Caenorhabditis elegans: one gene and its partner. The protein of the gene in region 1 purifies or fractionates together with the protein of each later gene. This does not show direct contact. Each region holds a gene or a part of one and is shown on either strand. Other genes may lie near its edges.

Region 1 (6,743 bases):
TACTAAACAAAGCTAAATCCGCACACAAACCTCAAATCAAAGCGTAAAAGAAGCGAGATCTGAAAAATGCCTGAAAACATTGGCTCCGAGTTAGGGCACTTCGGACGGCCAAAAAATTTTGTGACTATTGTCAAATGAAAGATCATGGTTGATAACATAAATTCCCACAGTTTCATAAAAATCGATACGCAGTGAACAAAGTTATGATTTTTGACCCGGAACTTATTTGGAGACCTAATAAGAAAAACTAAATTTTTCAGCTTCTCGAGGACTGCAGTCGCCGTGGATTCGACGCCTCATTTGATCTACAAAAAATGACATTTATTCGTATGTCATTTGTCAAAGGTTGGGGAGCTGAATATCAACGACAAGATGTCACTTCAACACCTTGTTGGATTGAAATTCATCTTCATGCTCCATTGGCTGTAAGTTCTGAAATTCTTGTTTTCTTTAGAAATAATACAATTTTCAGTGGCTCGACCGAGTTTTGTCTACAATGGGTCCAACTCCACGGCCAATTTCTTCAATTTCTTGAATCATTTTTATTATTTTTCAAATAACACTACCTTGTTGAATTGGAATCAGAAATAGAATAATAAAACAAAAAAAAAACAAACAAAGACGTCCAATTTAAGTACATGCTTTGAAGAGAAAAAAGGCATCTGAGGGGAATGAAGGGGGGCAAAAGTGAAACCGGGAGAAGATGAATTTTGAAAAAGAAACGAAAAATACATATCATTATACAGATAGAAACATAAAATTATGTTCTTATTCAGCTAACAAAGCCTGCATGATGATGTGGCAAGTTGCAAAGAATTCCATCGTCTGAGAACGAATTGGAGCTTCGGGTTCCGAAGATTGAGTTGAAACTTCATCAAGACTTTCCATTGAGTTCTGAAATTTTAATGCTTATAAAAAAGAACCAAGAACGAATATTTTTCTATAACAAACCTCAATATCAGCCATGTAGATACTGCTGTTCAACGATGATTTCAGCGAGGCGTCCGCGTCATCAACGCGAACTTTTGGAATGTTGACAGCTGAATTAATATTAAAATTGAGTAATGAAAATGAACCACTTAAAAAAATGATTGAAATTGTTTCGTTTTAATGAAATGAGCTTGAAGGTAGCGTCAGTGATGTCAAAATTTTTAATTTTTTGAACGAACTGTTTTTTTTTCAAATTTTTTACTGATCGAAACTGAGAAAATATCTAGATAAAACACTCTAAACTAAAATTTTCCTGGTCCTGCAGAAAAAAAAATTCGAATTTTAAATAATTTTTAAATCATTTCTTAATTTTTCTATTTTTTTTTAATTTAAAAAATTCGAAAATATCTTTCTCCAACTACAAATCAATGGTTTCGTGTTTTCGATTTTTTTTTTGAAAATTCGTTTTTTTTTTACTCTTTGGGGGTTTTTGTGAAAAATTTGCTACTCCTTCTTTGAAAAAACAAATTTTTTTTTTTGAAAATTCATTTTAAAATAATTTTCTTTCATCAAAATTAAACTTACACGGAGAAATTGGAGACATTGGAGATAGTGGAGACATTGGAACTTTCGAGCTATTTCCATTTAAATCACTTTTCGATTTGGCGAGAGTTACTGATACGGACGCAGCACGGGAACGACAACGACTCGGTGGAACAGCTGAAAGTTTTTTTTTAAAACAAAATATTAATAGCTATTTTCACTCGAAGAATACGGTACCAGGTCACGACACGACAAATTTATGTCAAGTGCGAAAAGGCGTAAAGAGTACTATAATTCATTAATTGTGTTTTAATTGTTTTACTTTAGTATTTTGATAAAGAAATCTTTTGTTCATAGAAAATCTATGAGAAATTGATGAAAAATTTGCAGTAACGAGTTTGAAATTACAGTACTCTTCAAAGGCGCACTTTTCGTAATTTACGAAAAATTGTCGTGGTGAGACCAGGCACCGTATTTTTAGCCCAAAAATCGTGAACTTTCGTGTTTATGTAATAAATACAAACCTTCTTCGTCTTCAGTGAGTCCTTTGAAATCGAGTAAATATCCTTTGTTATTCTCTTTTTTATCGAGAGCAAATAATTGAAGAGATACTTTCACAGGATCCGGATTAATTGGAGTCGGTTTGCTACGAACAATAATATGATACATACTGAGTACTTTCCATTCCATATCAACAGATTTTAAACTCAAAAAAACATGTTTCATGGTCTCAACTGGATCAAGACATGCACGAATTCCAAGATTCCATGTCAATTTCTTTTGCTCTTTTTTCAGTCCTTCCAAGATTTTTCGACCAACATTTGCTGAAAACTTTCCGACTACTTTTGCAACATTCCTTTCAGATTTCTCACTTTTCGTGGTGGCACCGACTGGCAACGAAGTGCTTCCCATTTTCATTGTTTTTCCAATCTCCCAAAAATCTTCCATTGCTTTTTGAGAAGATTCATCGGCATTTCTTTTATGATTTACTTCAAGACGATATGCAATACAGAGAAAATGATGATGATCTTCAGCAAGTAGAGCTCCAGTTACATCTTCTTCTTTCACATCAAATTTCTGAAAAAAAAAGGTTTCAGGTGTTGCTGTCGGTTAAAAAAAAATTCCCATGATTTCCTGTCTTTTTTCTATTTTTTAAAAATAAATTTTCATCTTAACTCATGGAAGTATATAATTTATAAGAATTTATAGTTTTTTCGTACATTTTTACTTTTCGGTTCTCGATTTCTCGATGAAAGGGGATTTTGCTTCTTAAAATATAAAATAGCTTCAAATTATGAAAAAACCAAAAAATGTCGAAAAATGAAAAAATAAATTATTTTTTCTGGTGGGGTTTTCTGAATTTCAGTTTTTTTGTATATTTTAACAATAAATTCACTTAAAAAAAATAATCAGAAATTATTGTAATAGTATTCTAGAACCAAAAAATGTGAAAGTTTAATTTAACTTTTTTAGAAACTCTCAGAATATTTTTTAAAAGTCGAACCTCTGCAACACTCTGAACCACATCAATATCAACAATCGATGATTCATTTTCACATTCTGGGAACAAATAATATGGAAGATCGATACGGAACCAACTGTGATTAACAATTCGTTTTACATCAGCTCTCTTCACAGGATCAACTTGAAGCATCGTAGAAATTAGATCGGCTGCTTGTTTTTCCATGGAATATGGAACTGTGTATCGGCCACCTGTATTAAAATAATCAAAATAAATTGTTTTAACTTTTAATTTCTCACTTTTAATTTTTGCAAACAACGTTGGAACATTCTGATCATCAAATGGCAAAGTTCCACAAAGCATCGCATAAAGTATAACTCCACATGACCATAGATCAACTTCAGGGCCCACATAAAGTTTATTTGATATTAGTTCGGGTGCCGCGTAGTTTGGAGATCCACATGCCGTCGAGAGAAGATCACCATCTGTCATGTAGTTCGAGAGACCGAAATCAGCGATTTTAATGTTCTTGTTCGCGTCCAGAAGAAGATTTTCGGGCTTCTAAAATTGATATATTGTTCTTAACGATTTTTAAACAAATTATCCGACTGAGAGTTTTCCTTTTTACAAGTTTTTGGATTCAATGGTTCCGAGATATTTTGATTTTTAGAGACTTTAAATTTTGAACTATGGCAAACAATGTTGACCGAAAATAGTGCGAGTAAACATATAAACGCTGCCCATCGTGTTTTTCTAGTTGTTTTTTTTTTAATATTTGAACAAGGATTATTTGTGAGTACATATTTTTTGATTCACAAAAGGAAATAATATAAAACATACCAAGTCTCTATGCACAATCATATGATTATGACAATAACTGACTCCAGAAATAATTTGTTGAAAGTATCGTCGACTTTCTCTGATTGGAAGAGCACCTTTTCTAGTTATATAACTGAAAAGTTCTCCACCAGAAACTAGTTCCATGACCAAAAATATGTCCGAAGGAGTACTGATAACACGGAAGAGACGTGTGATATGTGGATGTGTGAGTTTCTGAAGATTATCAATCTCATTTCGAGTTTTGTTAACTGTTCCGAGTCCTTTCATTCTTCCACGATTCAGAATTTTAATGGCGACGTCGTATCCGGTTTGAATATGTGTTCCTCCTGAGAAATATGATATTGATTTTCATTTGAGCTGTAGATTTCTCGTTTTTTTGGCTAAAAATTAGGTGTTTATTTTTCTTTTTTCGGAAAAAAAGTGAGCGAAGAAAGGGAAACTCTAATATAATAAAACCCCCATAAATGTTTAAAATTCACTTTTTTTCCCGAAAAACCTTCAATGTTATAAAAAAGAGTGCTAATTTGATCAAGATGTTGAAAAATTTCAAAATAACGTTCCAATATTACAAAAAATTTTCTGTTTTTTTCTTGCTGTGGGTGAAAAACTATTTTTTCCGTTTCGGTTTCACGAAAAAAAAATTCCGGATTCTGCCCTGGTTTTCATAAAAAATATTAAGAATACTTACTTTTAACAGCTCCAAATGCTCCTTTTCCAATTGTCTCTTTGATGACAAAGTTTCCAATTTTCAAATGTCCAGTGCCAGCCAAGGCGATTGTTCTATCGAAACGTCCACTTGGAGGCATATTTTTTTGACGATGTTGTGAACCTATTGGTACTACCATACCCTAAATAAAACATTATTATTCTGGATTTTAAAAAAGTTAAACGGTGGGAGTTAATGACAGGTAGTGTGAAATCGAAAAATTAAAAAAAAATCGGCTTGAAAATTTACTTGAAAATTTGGAGAAAACTTTGGCTTAGGCTCGGCGGCGGGTAAAATTTCAAAGGGATTTTCAAAACTAAGCTTTTTAAAAAAGTTTAACCAAGAAATCCGGCTTGTTTTCCTAGAAGAATTAAATGTTTTCAGTAAGTTCCGAAAACTATGCCGCGAAACAAAAATAATATATAGGGTCTGAGGAGGTCACGCGATTGAGTGTGAATCATATGAATCATAAAGAATGACCGAGCAGCCGCCGTTGGTGCCACGCGTCGTTTCCATTCAAATGGGCTCTCACCACTCTGACAGTGTATGACAATATAAATCAAATCAGCAGACATTCAATTTCTCAACATCTGCCCTGTTGGTTAACACAATATGGTTTTGGTTTCTAAGAGCTGTTTGGACGACGCAGAGAAACATGAAAAAAAACCAGTGTGTGTCTATTGAACAACGACACCTCTTTTTATGAGCCGATGAGGAAGGGAGGCTCTTTAGAAGAGAGCACATGAAAGAAGAAGGCGGAGTCAAGTGGCTGAGGGCCTAATGGGAGGAGCTTGGTGAGGTTTTCTAATTTTGGAAGAATAAGATTTTAGATCTAATCTCATCTTGTACCAAAGGATCAGGATAGGAAACTTGAATTGATAAATTCAACATTCCATTATCAATTTTATTTTCGACAATATGATGTATGCCGAACTGCACAAAATGAAAAAAAAAACCAAATGTAAAGTGACGAATTACACACACATCTAGAAGGCATAACTACAATTTTGATTTAACAAAAATCTAAAATGAATATTCGAATTTTTAGACTGAGCAATTCGTACTCATTACTTCTACTTGACAAAAATTATAGAATAACAATATTTTGAGAAGCCGAAAGACAGAATACCAGCTGGGTGTACGTGGTAGAAGGCCATATGAGTAGACAGAGTGAAATTGGGAACAAAAACGATACCACGTGTGTTTGGAGTAGACTTGTCAACAAGTTGCTTGAAAAATTGGGGCGTGGCTACTATTCTACGAGGCTTCTGCTACTAATGAATGACCCCCAGAGATATTTCTAAGTGGATCTAGAAAGATCGAATTTCCTCAAATTTTGAAGCTAAACTCATGTGATCGCTCTTGAATTGTCACATTCACGAGCTTCTTTCCAAAATGTCTAGACCATGAGAAAGTCAAAGAATGCGGAGATGCTCTTACAATTATTCTCGTTGTGATGTCAGTTTTCACATTTCCCACGGCTGATTGACACTTTGAGCTCGTCGTCCAGTATTTCAATCAAAAGATTCCAGCTATAAAATTGATTCCGAAAATAACGACAAGAAAATAGAAATAGAATTTATGATTTTAAAAATTCTTTCTGTTTTCGAAAACGGTTTCTGCACTTTCTATACGAAATCTGACAGATGCTGTCGTGAGCGGACACTGGTTTTCTATGAACTGGAAGGAATGAACACTTAGTGAAGACACGAGCAACATAAAATATTGATATTTTTAAAAGTTTAGATGATGGAATAGAAAAATCGTTGACACGAATGGCTGTCTGTCCCCAATTTCGAAATCGTTCGAATTTCAAGAACAACAACTATTTCAACAAAAATACGATGAACAACTGGATAATGTTTAATTACAAAAACTAGCTGAATTAGTTTTGATAAAGAGCAGTTTGTTAAAATTTCTATCGCTGCAATTTTTTAAACAAAAGTGAAGTTTTTCAAAAAGAAATGAACAAATATTTTTCCGTTCGCAACTATTTTCAACACATGTGCGCAGTCTAGAAAACAACAGAAAACAAAAAATATATACGAAATCGTAGGAAATGCAAAGAACGATGATTGTAAGAGAAGGACAGGAGAGCAAAATGGTTTTCTTATCATTCCAGAGGTTTTTTCTCACTTTTACAGTGCATATTATGCACGTTGTCGTTCTGCGGGCAGAAATGAACATAGAAAATTAAAAAAAAACATAATAAATTGAAGAGTTAAACTTAAAATGGAGAATTTCCGAAAAGAAAAATCGATT
Region 2 (5,051 bases), on another chromosome or scaffold:
AGCTAATTAACGGATTTTTTAAAAAGTATTATTCTAATAGATTTTTATGATATTTAAAATACCCATTTTAAAAACAAATTTGATAAATAATATCACTTTTAACCTCAATTTCATTTAAAAATTAAATAAAATGTTTCCATATTGATTTTATTTAGCTTATTTATAACATTTTCAGCTCCAATTTTATACAAAATATTTAAATGATAATTTCCACGAGCTATTTCCAATCTTATTCAACTATAGTGTGTGGTATATTATTTAAATTTGAAATTAATTTATGAAAAAAAAGTTGATAAACTAACGTCCTAAAAGCACTATTTGTAGCTTTAATATTAGACAAAAAAATTATACATTTCCATGGACATTATAGAACCTTACTTAACTATATTATAGATAGCTTTGCCTATAGTTTGAATTGTCAATTTTATTTGAAAAAGTTGATAAACTGGCCTATTTAGCTTCACAAAACTTAACGAAAGCATAAAGTTTTCTTAATAGTTTGATTTTTCTATGCTAAATTAAAACAATATATATATATATATAAAATCGAATCCGAAAAAGTTGTTATTCACTACGCAGCTCCCACCATTAAGATGCTAATTATATATGCTAAAAGAAAAAAAAAGAAAAGACTCCTGCAATTCTTTAAAATAATAAATTCGAGAGAAGAGGGGAAGTTTCAAAAATCAAAGTTTGCAAGATAGATTCACACAGAAAAAAGACCATTTGAAAAAAATCATCCAATTTGCAAAGTTTCATGTCTTGTTTGTTCAGCATACAACATGGTACACGATGAGTTTTTGCCACGTGTCACTGAAAAATTTATATTAGTTTGTTTCCAATGGGGTGGAAATTTTGTTTCTTTTTTTTTTGTGCCTACAAGGAAAAGCACCTTTAAAAAATTCTAGAAAGTATGAGAAGATCACATGAAAAACTTATTTACATAGAGACAAAAATTTAATGAATTTCTGATACAGAAATAATTGAAAATTCTATGTGGAAATTTTTTCACTAAAATGAAATTTTAATAATTCTCAAAAAATCAAAATTTTCACGTGATATGTATATAATTTGCAAAGCTTTTCTGATTTTTCGGCGGAGGATGGCTCAGTGGATATCAGTCTCGACTATCAATCCAAGCTCATCACAAGACGCGGGTTCGATTCCCTGCATCTTCCGTCAATTTCTACTCGTCAACTCGATCATTTCTCGTCGGCCGAAACTCGCAATAAACAGTAAATACACTATATATAATAATCGTCATCATAAACAAAAAGTGAAGGATTCTTGTGAACTAATGTGTTAAATGAATAAAGATCAAAAGAAATTTTTGAATTTCTCTGTTTGAGTACCCAAGAAGCTCGAACTTAGTTTTCAAAAATCTCAAATGTTGCTGTGGATCGAACTCAATATTTCTTTTACTTTCACCTTCCAATACATATTTAAGTCGTTTATTACGAGTTTTTCGTTGATTTAGGTCCAATTCGATCAACTGGAGTAAGAATTGTATCATAGTTGTGCACCCATCGACTAAAAAAGTAATTCCAATCAACAACACTTTTCTAAAATTTTGATATATTTTCAGTAATCGTTACATAAGTTGCTGGAAAATTAGGAACACTTTTTTCCAATTTTTGTTCCATAATTTTCAAAAAGTTTCCCAATTTTTGCAAATTCTTCAATAGTTTTCAAAAAATGTTTTCTAGGAGGGGCCTAACTATAAGTGAATTTTTTTTCTATTTTCAGTCGAAAATCAACGTTCATAAGAAATACATTTTGATTTGTTTTTATCTGTTTTTTTTTATAAAATCATGTGAATTAAATTGTTTAGTGTCTTAGAAAAATTCGATAAAAACGGAATGCATCTCCTGTTAATTATGTGCTAATCTTCTTTGGAGTGTTGCTTGTGTGTGCCTTTTCTGTTTTGCCGACTCATCGGGCCGATTTAATTTTAAAATGAGTAACATCACTGATTACTCATCAAATAATGTCTGTCTTGTTTTTGAAACTAATGTTGAAAGCCAGGTAACTAAACAATGACTCATTGAGTCCGTAAAGTTGATTTTAATTTTGAGAACTTGTTTTCTTGGCAATTTCCTCGCCCCAGCGAAAAGCCTGACCGGTAAACTTTTGAGTTCTAAAATTGTTCTACAATTATTATTATCACGTCAAAACTAGTCTGCCTATGTTTACAGGAAGATGTATAAAACAAGAAAACTTCGTTCCATGTTTTGAGCTTCACTGTATCTAAGTGAGTCAGCCATTATGCACCTTTTAACATTTATTCTTGTTTGGTTTTTCTGCATAAATGTTCAGTCTTTTACTCGTAAAAGAGCAACATGCAATACTACAGAGATAATGTAAGTAAGTTTGTAAATGCTCACTAAATAAACTTTATATTGTTCAGGTGGATTCCTGACAAATCTGACTATTTTGAAGAGCAAGTTGAACTGCAACTTACTTCCAGAACAGGCATGAATCCTGATTCAATGGCGAAGATTGTACAGGAAGAGTGCAAATTCGAGAAAAACGGTTGGTCAGTAGGGGAAATGATTGAAACCCAATTTTTTCTTTGGTAGAGTAACCAAATACCATCATAAAATTTCTAGAAAAACATTGGAATTATTTGTCAATTTTGAATTAAAGGTGGAGTAGCGCCAGTGGGGACTTTGTCAAAAAACAGATATAATGATCCAAAATGGCCGAATGGAAAATTTCCAAAAATTTGAAAAGTATGAGCTTTTGAGGAAATTCAAAGCATTGTCGTATGTTCCGACCCCTACAATGTTTTAATACAAACATTAAAAAATAATTGAAATATAAAAAATGTGGTTCGAATGTTCGACAGTGCTCAAATCAAAATAACACATTTTACAAAAAAAAATTATTTTGATATATTTGGCCACATAAATGTTCTTTAACAGTTTCCCCACTGGCCCTATTTCACCATTAAAGCCTTGATCTTAATGTTATAATTAATTTTAGTTTCTTCGGTCAAACGAAAAAAGAGATTTGCAATAGTCAAAGGAGCGCATTTTCTATATAAATTCGTGAAAGTGATCAGTTTTGTGCAGCTGCTCCGAGACCTGTACAGGGGCAGAGGGCTAATTAAGCTTTACTTCGAACTTGAGAAAATGAATAGAGACCTAGAAGAAGAATATTTTCGAACGAGTATTCAAATTCTGATGAGTGGTGAGAAAATTCCGAAGTCAATTCTCAATCACCCGAAAGTTTTATTTGTGAGTGGTGGCAAGATCATCAAAAAAAACGCCTGAAATTTCGTTGTTCAGGTGATAAAAAAAAGAATTCCAATCGAAAACCAATACCTCCTATCACATGTTTCTGCGGCAGATGCAACGTGTTACCAACGTAAAAAGCGTTCTAGAGTCGTCATCGTGTTGAACCTTAAAATTCCAAAAGTTCATCAGAACCGTGTGAAGAAAGTAAGTTTATTTTATTTTATATGAGAAACTTGTTTGTGTGGTAGAGCTTCCATGTGAGAGCGGAAACGGCGTCGGCGCAAGCCTTTTCGCCGCTGTTCAGTAGGATCTCCCAGCAAAGGGTCTCACCACGATTTTTTTCACCTCGACGATACACTCAAAATAAAAAATAACTGCGTGGCGTGTACTGCAGAAAACCTAATATTTAGGCCGCGCCGCTGCGTTTAACTCGCGTTGGGCGTGGCGAGCTGTCTCCGCCTGCTGCGAGTTAAACACAGCGGCGCGCGGAACCCGTGAGATGTCGGCGGCCTGATATTGGTTGGGGTCAAAATTTTGGCCTTTTCTCCGTGAGTGGACAAGAAAAAGGCGGGGCCGAAATATTAGGTTTTCTGCAGTACACGCCACGCAGTTTTTTATTTATTTTGAGTGTATCCGTAGTTAAAAATTCATAATTGTAAATAGTTTTTACTGACGAAAGTTGACATTCATTAATTATTCCTTACTTGCAGTGCGTTTCTTTCAATAATGGCTCACTTTATCACGTTTCGGAGACGGAATCGTTGCGAACACTGAGAGTAGATATCAAGAAATGTTTTTTTGAGGTAATTGAGATTAATAGTTTTGTTATAAGCAAAAGTAATACAATTTCAGAACTTGACATTTTGCCCTCATGCAGCAGTTCGTGAAATCAATTGCACTGATGAAAATCTCAGAGCTTACAAGATTTCAGTTGGGAGGAAAGCCTGATTTTTTCATTAAGCTTCTCTGAGCTTCTGACCTCACAGTAAATTTATATTTCCCGCTACATTCTCCATCCTCAATTTTTTTTCTTATATCATTCTGTTATTCCGCTCCAACTAAAATCTCTCCAAAAATCGACAGTTTTGCAAAAAAAAGACCAAGAAATCAAACAACAAGTGTTATGAAAATTCGACGTGGTGGGAACAATATGCGATTATATCGATTGGCGATTGCGATGTGGAATTTGTTCTGTTCATTTTTTCCGCTGGATTGAATATATCGGAAAAAATACCAACATTTTTTGGGAGTAATTTTAATAAAAATATCTGCATGCACACTTTTTTTCAACAAGGAAATTAATTTAGTTTATAAAATAGGTCACCTCAAATATTTCAGCGGCGGAATCAACTGGACTCTTGAAATGGGGATCTGAAACTTTTCCAGAACATTTTGAAGCTGGATTTAATATATTGAAAGAAATACCGAAAAAAAACCAAAAATGTTTCTTATATTCCAGATTGTTTGTCTACTCCTGAGCTATCTGAAGTTATCGAAAAGCTGGAAAAAAACACTCTTTTTTGTCTCTCAAGTAAAATTGTGAAATTTTCAACTAAAAAATTTTTAGATCGGTTCCACCGTAGCTGAAATTTTTGAAGGAACCACTCTTGGATTACAGTTTTATAGGTGAAGACTAGTAGTTGAGAACTACACTGAAAAAATTGGTCCAATGGGAAAGGGATGGAAATTTTGTTTCTTCATTTTTCGTGATTACAACGAAAAAATTTTTTCAATAAATCTACAAAATATAAGAATATCACGTGAAACATTCATTTTCAAAGAAACAAAAATTTTATAGAAAAATTTACCATA

The links.
Region 2: the proteins of aak-1 (region 1) and D1005.5 fractionate together in Caenorhabditis elegans (co-fractionation; one large-scale study listed by BioGRID). This does not show direct contact.

The regions. Positions count from the first base shown.
Region 1 is NC_003281.10:8,756,468-8,763,210, forward strand, and holds aak-1 (5'-AMP-activated protein kinase catalytic subunit alpha-1), read right to left. Parts: upstream 4,624-6,743; 5' UTR 4,582-4,623; coding exon 4,464-4,581; intron 4,102-4,463; coding exon 3,776-4,101; exon of another isoform or gene 3,497-3,775; coding exon 3,235-3,496; intron 3,187-3,234; coding exon 2,978-3,186; intron 2,551-2,977; coding exon 2,346-2,550; intron 2,298-2,345; coding exon 1,998-2,297; intron 1,651-1,997; coding exon 1,516-1,650; intron 1,041-1,515; coding exon 952-1,040; intron 895-951; coding exon 769-894; 3' UTR 536-768; downstream 1-535. Other genes in the region: Dwarfin sma-2, read left to right, coding at 261-425, 473-535. UniProt on the Caenorhabditis elegans protein: Probably does not act as a sensor that couples lifespan to information about energy levels and insulin-like signals. Together with aak-2, involved in the establishment of germline stem cell (GSC) quiescence during dauer development.
Region 2 is NC_003284.9:1,470,134-1,475,184, reverse strand, and holds D1005.5 (Signal peptide-containing protein), read left to right. Parts: upstream 1-2,204; 5' UTR 2,205-2,265; coding exon 2,266-2,360; intron 2,361-2,407; coding exon 2,408-2,532; exon of another isoform or gene 2,533-2,536; intron 2,537-2,985; coding exon 2,986-3,239; intron 3,240-3,290; coding exon 3,291-3,443; intron 3,444-3,949; coding exon 3,950-4,042; intron 4,043-4,091; coding exon 4,092-4,187; 3' UTR 4,188-4,505; downstream 4,506-5,051.